Linked DNA regions of Mus musculus. The protein of the gene in region 1 binds, or shares a complex with, the protein of each later gene. Links are inferred from orthologs where the notes say so. Each region holds a gene or a part of one and is shown on either strand. Other genes may lie near its edges. The genes, in order: Gnai2 and P2ry12.

What was found.
Region 2: the proteins of Gnai2 (region 1) and P2ry12 are in contact, whole or in part, in a cryo-EM structure (PDB 7XXI), measured with the Homo sapiens proteins. The link is inferred for Mus musculus from reciprocal best matches to the Homo sapiens genes GNAI2 and P2RY12. Residues at the interface, in NP_002061.1 of Homo sapiens: Arg24, Glu28, Ala31, Arg32, Leu195, Glu319, Ile320, Tyr321, Phe335, Phe337, Asp338, Ala339, Thr341, Asp342, Ile344, Ile345, Lys346, Asn348, Leu349, Lys350, Asp351, Cys352, Gly353, Leu354, Phe355; in NP_073625.1 of Homo sapiens: Phe59, Asp121, Arg122, Lys125, Thr126, Pro129, Phe130, Thr132, Asn134, Pro135, Ile212, Leu216, Ser219, Tyr220, Arg222, Thr223, Arg224, Val234, Lys237, Ile241, Leu301, Cys302, Lys303.

Annotation. Positions count from the first base shown.
Region 1 is NC_000075.6:107,615,949-107,618,629, reverse strand, and holds part of Gnai2 (guanine nucleotide-binding protein G(i) subunit alpha-2), read left to right. Parts: intron 1-1,566; coding exon 1,567-1,695; intron 1,696-2,086; coding exon 2,087-2,216; intron 2,217-2,321; coding exon 2,322-2,475; intron 2,476-2,681. UniProt on the Homo sapiens protein: Guanine nucleotide-binding proteins (G proteins) are involved as modulators or transducers in various transmembrane signaling systems.
Region 2 is NC_000069.6:59,260,283-59,264,204, forward strand, and holds the start of P2ry12 (P2Y purinoceptor 12), read right to left. Parts: upstream 2,704-3,922; 5' UTR 2,492-2,703; intron 2,064-2,491; coding exon of another isoform or gene 1,928-2,063; intron 1,702-1,927; coding exon of another isoform or gene 1,592-1,701; intron 552-1,591; coding exon of another isoform or gene 462-551; intron 1-461. Other genes in the region: Med12l (mediator of RNA polymerase II transcription subunit 12-like protein), read left to right, coding at 462-551, 1,592-1,701, 1,928-2,063, 2,843-3,004. UniProt on the Homo sapiens protein: Receptor for ADP and ATP coupled to G-proteins that inhibit the adenylyl cyclase second messenger system. Not activated by UDP and UTP. Required for normal platelet aggregation and blood coagulation.

The DNA.
Region 1 (2,681 bases):
TTTATTCTCCACCTTCTTCCTATTGCACGCCTGCCTCTGCTCTAGGAGTTGGGGTGGTCACCACAGGGCCTGCTCAGCCAGAGTGCTTTTTGCCTCCACAGGCTCATCTTCAGGAGGAGTATGGGGCGATACTCTAAGCTTTACCACAGGCTAGACCCCAGGAGAGCAGAGGCTCCTAGGGTGAGGCCACCTGCTGAGAAGATAGAAATTGGTGTGGAACTCACCTTGAGGTTTCAGGCTAGGGGCTCCGTCCACAGGGGATGGAGCCTGGTACGCAGGTCACAGCAAGTGCGTCATGGTCCCCTGTGGCCCTTCCTGTTATTCTGTTCTATCCCTGCTTCTCTGAGATCATTTCCCTTTGGTCTGGTTTGGCTGCCTGCTGGCCCCAGCACCCCTGCCCCAAGAACAAAAGACCAATAGAAGGGAGACACTTCAAGGCCTGGACCCAGCCTGAAAGCATAGCGGGGATATCGAGTCAGACACTGCGGGAGAGGCATTGATACTAATTAAAGGACTGTGTGATGAAGGGCCCCAGGGATCTCTGCCAAGCAGGTGTCTGTGCTCCCACCTCAGCTCAAATTTTACTGAGTGTTAGGTGAAGGACCCACTGGGCCTGGCAGGCCCCGACATGTTTAGTCCTATGAAGGGACCACACCAGGTTGCTCTGCAGTGGGACCTTAATTACACCGGTTAGCATCTTGATCTCTCCCTAAAGGACTAATTTCTCCCTCCCACTTTTTACCTGTGAGTCCTAACATTCTGGCGTCTCTTGGATGCAGGTCAAGTGAGAACCTGACTGCTAGGGTCATAGAGCTGTAATCCCCCAGTCCCATTGTACAGATGGGAAACATGAGGACTGAGGCCACATTTCTTTCTTTCTTTTTTTTTTTTTAAAGGTTTATTTATTTCCTATCTCGAAAAAAAAAATTTATTTTATGTATATGAGTACACTGTTGTTGTCTTCAGACATACCAGAAGAGGGCGTCAGATCCTATTGCAGATGGTTGTGAGCTACCATGTGGTTGTCAGGAATTGAACTCAGGACCTTTGGAAGAACAGTCAGTGCTCTTAACAACTGAACCATCTCTCCAGCCCCATCCCATGTTTCTTTTTTTGGGGGGGGGGAGCCTTGTGTGTGTGTGTGTGTGTCTTTTTTTTTTGTTTTTTTTTTTTGTTTTGTTTTTTTTTTTTTTTGAGGCAGGTTTTCTCTGTGTAGCCCTGGCTGTCCTGGAACTCACTCTGTAGACCAGGCTGGCCTTGAACTCAGAAATCCACCTGCCTCTGCCTCCCAAGTGCTGGGATTAAAGGTGTGTGTCACCACTGCCCAGCTGAGCCCATGTTTCTTAAAGAAGCAAGGATAGCAGGCACAGCAGTGCACACCTGTAATCGCAGTGCTTGGGGCTGAGGCAGGAGAATTATAGGTTTGAGATAAGATTAGACTACATAAACCAGACCCTGCCTGGAGTAGAGGGAAGGGAGAAGGGAAGGAAGAAGAAGGGTTTTGTCTGTTCAGGGTCCAGGTCAGGATGCTGCTTTTGACCTGTCTGATTTCCTGCCTCCTTGCAGCTACCTGAATGATCTGGAGCGCATTGCACAGAGTGACTACATCCCTACACAGCAGGATGTGCTGCGGACCCGTGTGAAGACCACGGGCATCGTGGAAACACACTTCACCTTCAAGGACTTACACTTCAAGTGAGTGTGTGTGTGTGTGTGTGTGTGTGTGTGTGTGTGTGTGTGTGTGTGTACAGGGTTAAGGGCCATAGCTGCTAGCTGCTGGGGTAGCCCAGTCCTGGGATTGTGTTGGGAAGGCATGTCCTCAAGGTCTGTCACCTAGGCATCAGTAGTGACCTACTAATAGCTTCTCCTGCCTGTCCCATGTGGCTCTAGCCTGTCCCTCTGACCAGACTCAAAACCAGGATTGTGGTAAGGGACGTTCCATGACTACATGGTGGCACACAAGAAGGACCTGTCCTGCCTTGGCCAGGTCTCTGTCCCTAGCCAGCTGGCCTGTGAAGTGCAAGGACACCCCCCCACCCCCCCGCGGGGCTCTGCTCCCTGGATTAAGTTGACTCGATGTCCACAGGATGTTTGATGTGGGTGGTCAGCGGTCTGAGCGCAAGAAGTGGATCCACTGCTTTGAGGGCGTCACGGCCATCATCTTCTGTGTCGCCTTGAGCGCTTATGACTTGGTGCTGGCTGAGGATGAGGAGATGGTGAGAGTCCAGGAGCACTGGTGGTGGCGGGTGGGGGCTGAGCCTGGTAGGCAGCGACGGGGGTGGGGGGTGGTGTCAGTACTGACTTCACTTCCTTCTCCTTAGAACCGCATGCATGAGAGCATGAAGCTGTTTGACAGCATCTGCAACAACAAGTGGTTCACAGACACCTCCATCATCCTCTTCCTCAACAAGAAGGACCTGTTTGAAGAAAAGATCACACAGAGCTCCCTGACCATCTGTTTCCCTGAGTACACGGGTACTCTTTGAAGACTAGCTCATGGGGGTGTGGGGTGGCCATCCCAATAGACACCACTGGGGCTCTGGTGGCCCATGGATGCCCCAATCTGGACAGAAGGAAAAACACAGGACCTGTGGGACCTCACTCAGGAATGCACTGTGTCTACACACAAAAGGCTTGTTACCACCCATGGGCCTCTACCGTTGAGCATACGTACATAGGAA
Region 2 (3,922 bases), on another chromosome or scaffold:
CTGTCTCTTCCAGTGGGTTTATCCTTTCCTTCAAGCCGCTCTGGGCTGGGCCAGTGTCCTGGTTTAGGTGCCTGAGCACTTCCTTCTTTTGTTGCCTGGAAGGATCCATGTCAGATGTTAAGCAGACCTGCTCTGCCTTTCTGCGAGTCTCAGTTCACCTTGCCTCCCTTTGTCCTTGCCATAGGCATTTCTGTGTGGCCTTTTTCCGTGTGTGTGTGTGTGTGTGTGTGTGTGTGTGTGTGTAAGACTTTCTTCTCCCAGCTACCCAGGAAATTATAAAATAACTGGGATTTTGTCTGTCTGGAAGAAGAGGAAGAGTAAAAAAAAAAAATAACTTTGTTAATGTTTAAGCTAAGAAGTGTTAGCTGTTACTGTAGAGCTTCATTTTAAACCTGTAAAAGTCGTCATAGCAAAGAACAAAGGGATTTCTGTTGTTACTCTTTGTTTTTTCCCAATCTTAGATTTTAAGTAACTGGAGGGAAGAAAGATACCAAGATGATACGAAAGCCCGCCAGATGATGCATGAGGCCCTACAGCTCCGCCTGAATCTGGTAAGGATGTGGCAGACCCATTTCTGTCACACCTCTCTCTGTGTGAAAGTAATACCAGCTTTCAACATCTGTGGACAGAATCTGCATGACAGAGGGAAGCCTTCCTCTTTCTCACTCTGTACCTACTTCCTTTTCTCTTAAACCTTCTGTTTCCTTAGCTGCCGTCCTTCCTGTCTGGGTTGAATTCTAGACAGTAGAGTTGTAAGCACCTATTTGTGTTTTCCACCAGGGAGTAGAGGCTCCATCTGGCAGATCTCTCCTCCTCCTCCTGTGCAGTGCTAAGGGGAGGTCCGACAAACCTTTAATAGGAGTGTTGGCTTTCACTGTGTTCTATTTTACAACCACAGAAATCTGTCAACTCTCAATTTTTCTCAGAGACATTCTGTTAAATTGATCAGAAAAAAAAAAGACAAATCTCACAAGAATATTTTACAGAAATCTGAAAGTTTCAGCATGTTTTGTATTCCCTTAAATTTCCTCTTGACAAATCCTGAACGTGCCCTGGGCAATTGCTTTTCTGGCTTTTGGCAATCTGACCTCCCTGGGCAGTTGTTCACCTCACCTTCAGCACTCTGACCTCCTCCCAGGAGCTGGCAGACCTGTGGCAATACCTTCTCCTCCTCATTCCTTCCACGTTAAAGGGCATCTCCAGGGATATTATAGTGGCAGGCTCAGATGCAATAATAATCGAATATCACACAATTGCAGGTGATGAGACAGAGTTTTGATGCTATTCAGGTTTAACTGCAGTTATGTCTAAAACTAAGTACCATGAGAGACTGATGAGAAGAGAAAGGTAATTTTGTGACTGCCCACATTCAAGTGTTACACTTTCTGTTAAGTTTTGAATGCCTAGCCTCTGTGGAAAGAACCATAAACAGTGATAACCACATAGCTAGAAGAGACAGTTGTAGGATAATCCATAGTGTGGCTAGCAAGAACCAGTTCTTAACATCACTTCTGGTTTAACAAATCAACATTTGGGCACATATGGTAATAGGGGTAGCAATACAAAATCTTTATCATATTTTGTATGCTAGGTAGGAGGAATGTTTGACACGGTACAGCGGAGCACGCAGGGGACCACCGACTGGGCCCTCCTACTCCTCCAGATAATTACTTCGGGAACTGTTGACATGCACACTAACAAGTATGTTGGGTTTTTGTTTTGTTTTATTTTGTTTTTTATCATTTTATACCTTTTTTTTTCCCCTGCATGCATGCATGGTACAAGCTTTTGTCTACTGACAGGAAATTCTGCCACTTACTGATTTAGCTGTCATTAAAAACTTAGCACTTTCAGTAGAAATGCTTAGGCAATTCTGTGTGTCCGGGTTTTGTTTGTGAGAATAAAATGGGGTTTTCTTTCTTCTCAGTGAATTATTCACAACGGTTCTTGACATGCTGGGTGTTTTAATCAATGGAACCCTGGCTTCTGACCTATCAAGTGCTTCCCCCGGGGGATCAGAAGAGAACAAACGTGCATACATGAACTTAGTAAAGAAACTGAAAGTAAGCTTGTGATCAGCCTCTACTCTGAAATCATGTTGTTTATGGATTATTGTCTTAATTTCCTCCTCATTAATCTACATGTGTAGCTGATTCAGCAGATTGTGGTTATTTGTTATCTTACCTACTCTGTCAGTCCTTCAAAATTACAAGCATGATATTTGAACGATTTTTTTCTCTGAAAAGGTGTGCTCAAATAAAATGTGTTTTAATTTTTAAGGATTTTAAAAATGCATTATCAGATATCTAACCAAAACTCCAGTGTCAGATTTCCTTTGAACCCATGCTTGGATTTACACATGCAAGTGGGAAAAAAAAAAATGAGCTCTGCATTGAATTTGTAAATCCACTAACAGTCCTGGACATGAACGGCAAATAGACATTGCAAATACATAATCTGAAGACGTTACAGTAAAAAAGCTGATGGTTACCTTGCACTGTGACCCTGGATACGGGAAAGTGTCCGTGCGGCAGCTCCTGCTGTGTGACAGCAAATGACACTGGCGTTTTGTCATTTCAGCACTCTGATTTGTCATGGAGAACAAGACTGCCTTTGTGTGCACCCTGATTTTCTACTTGAATAGAAGAAATGAAACATTTCACCAGTCCAATTTGCAGCTGTTCCATAGACTGCGCTAAGGACTAAAGACATACTAGCCCTAAAAAAAAGGAAATGTGTCACTGGGGAACTTCCTTCTTGTTAGCTTTTGCTTCATTGTAAAGTCAGAATTTTTGCCTCACTTCTCTCTTGCTTTTACATTTTTCCCCCCTCTTTCTTCTAGAAAGAACTAGGAGACAAGAGGTCAGAAAGCATTGACAAAGTTCGACAGTTGCTGCCTTTGCCAAAGCAGACCTGCGATGTCATCACGTGTGAACCCATGGGTTCTTTGATCGATACAAAGGGAAACAAAATTGCTGGATTTGACTCTATTGATAAAAAACAGGCAAGAGTAAATGTTTTTTCCCACATATATAAATATATCTAGTTATAGAAGCCAAGTGACTTTTCTTAATTTTCAGTGGTATAATTTTTGTCATCAAAGCACAATAGCTATTGGCATTGCAAAAAGAAAAAGAAAAAAGCCATTATCTTCAAAGATCTCCCAATTAAAATGCTTATCTGGACTTCAGGGCATTTCTAGAATCTACCAAAAACTTAAGTAACAGCTTAGCATAAGAAATAAAAGTAAAATAAAATTATTATTTTACATCAGGATAGGAAACAAGCTATGTTTATATAAGAAAATGTGTGCTGATAAGAATTTTCATTTGCTGAGTAAGCAGTATTTAGTAAAACTTGTGTTACAACACTACGTAGTCTCTAAGAAGCAGTATTAGATGGGCATTTGCTTTCTATACAACGCTTTGGAAGGTTCTTTAAAATAACAGAAAGGCCAGCCTGAGTAGCCATTGGCACTGCAGCAATGGAGATGGTGGAGGGAATCCCTGCCCTTAGGGGGAAGTAGATGCACTTTTACATGCAACGGGACGTGCAGGTCAGGTCATGATGGCACCAACGGGGAACGGTTTAAGTCACACAGGCAGAGGTAGTCAGAACAGGGGTCCTACAATAGTGGACACACAGACCATCCTGACGGACTAAGTATACAGAAAAGTATAGGACAGGTGGGGAAAGTTTAAGGAAAGGCAAGAAAGGTGACTGTTAAGAGGAAAAACCATGCCACCAGAATTCAGAGTTAACTCAAATGCCATAGCAGTGTGGCCATGGGAGGGGAAAACCAGAAGTCACAATAAGGGTGACTTGGGCTTCTTTCAGAAGGCATCCAGGAGCCATTTAGATGTGAGTTCTACTCAGGAGAACGATTTCATCACATGGCAGACAGCAGTGGGTGGTGACATTA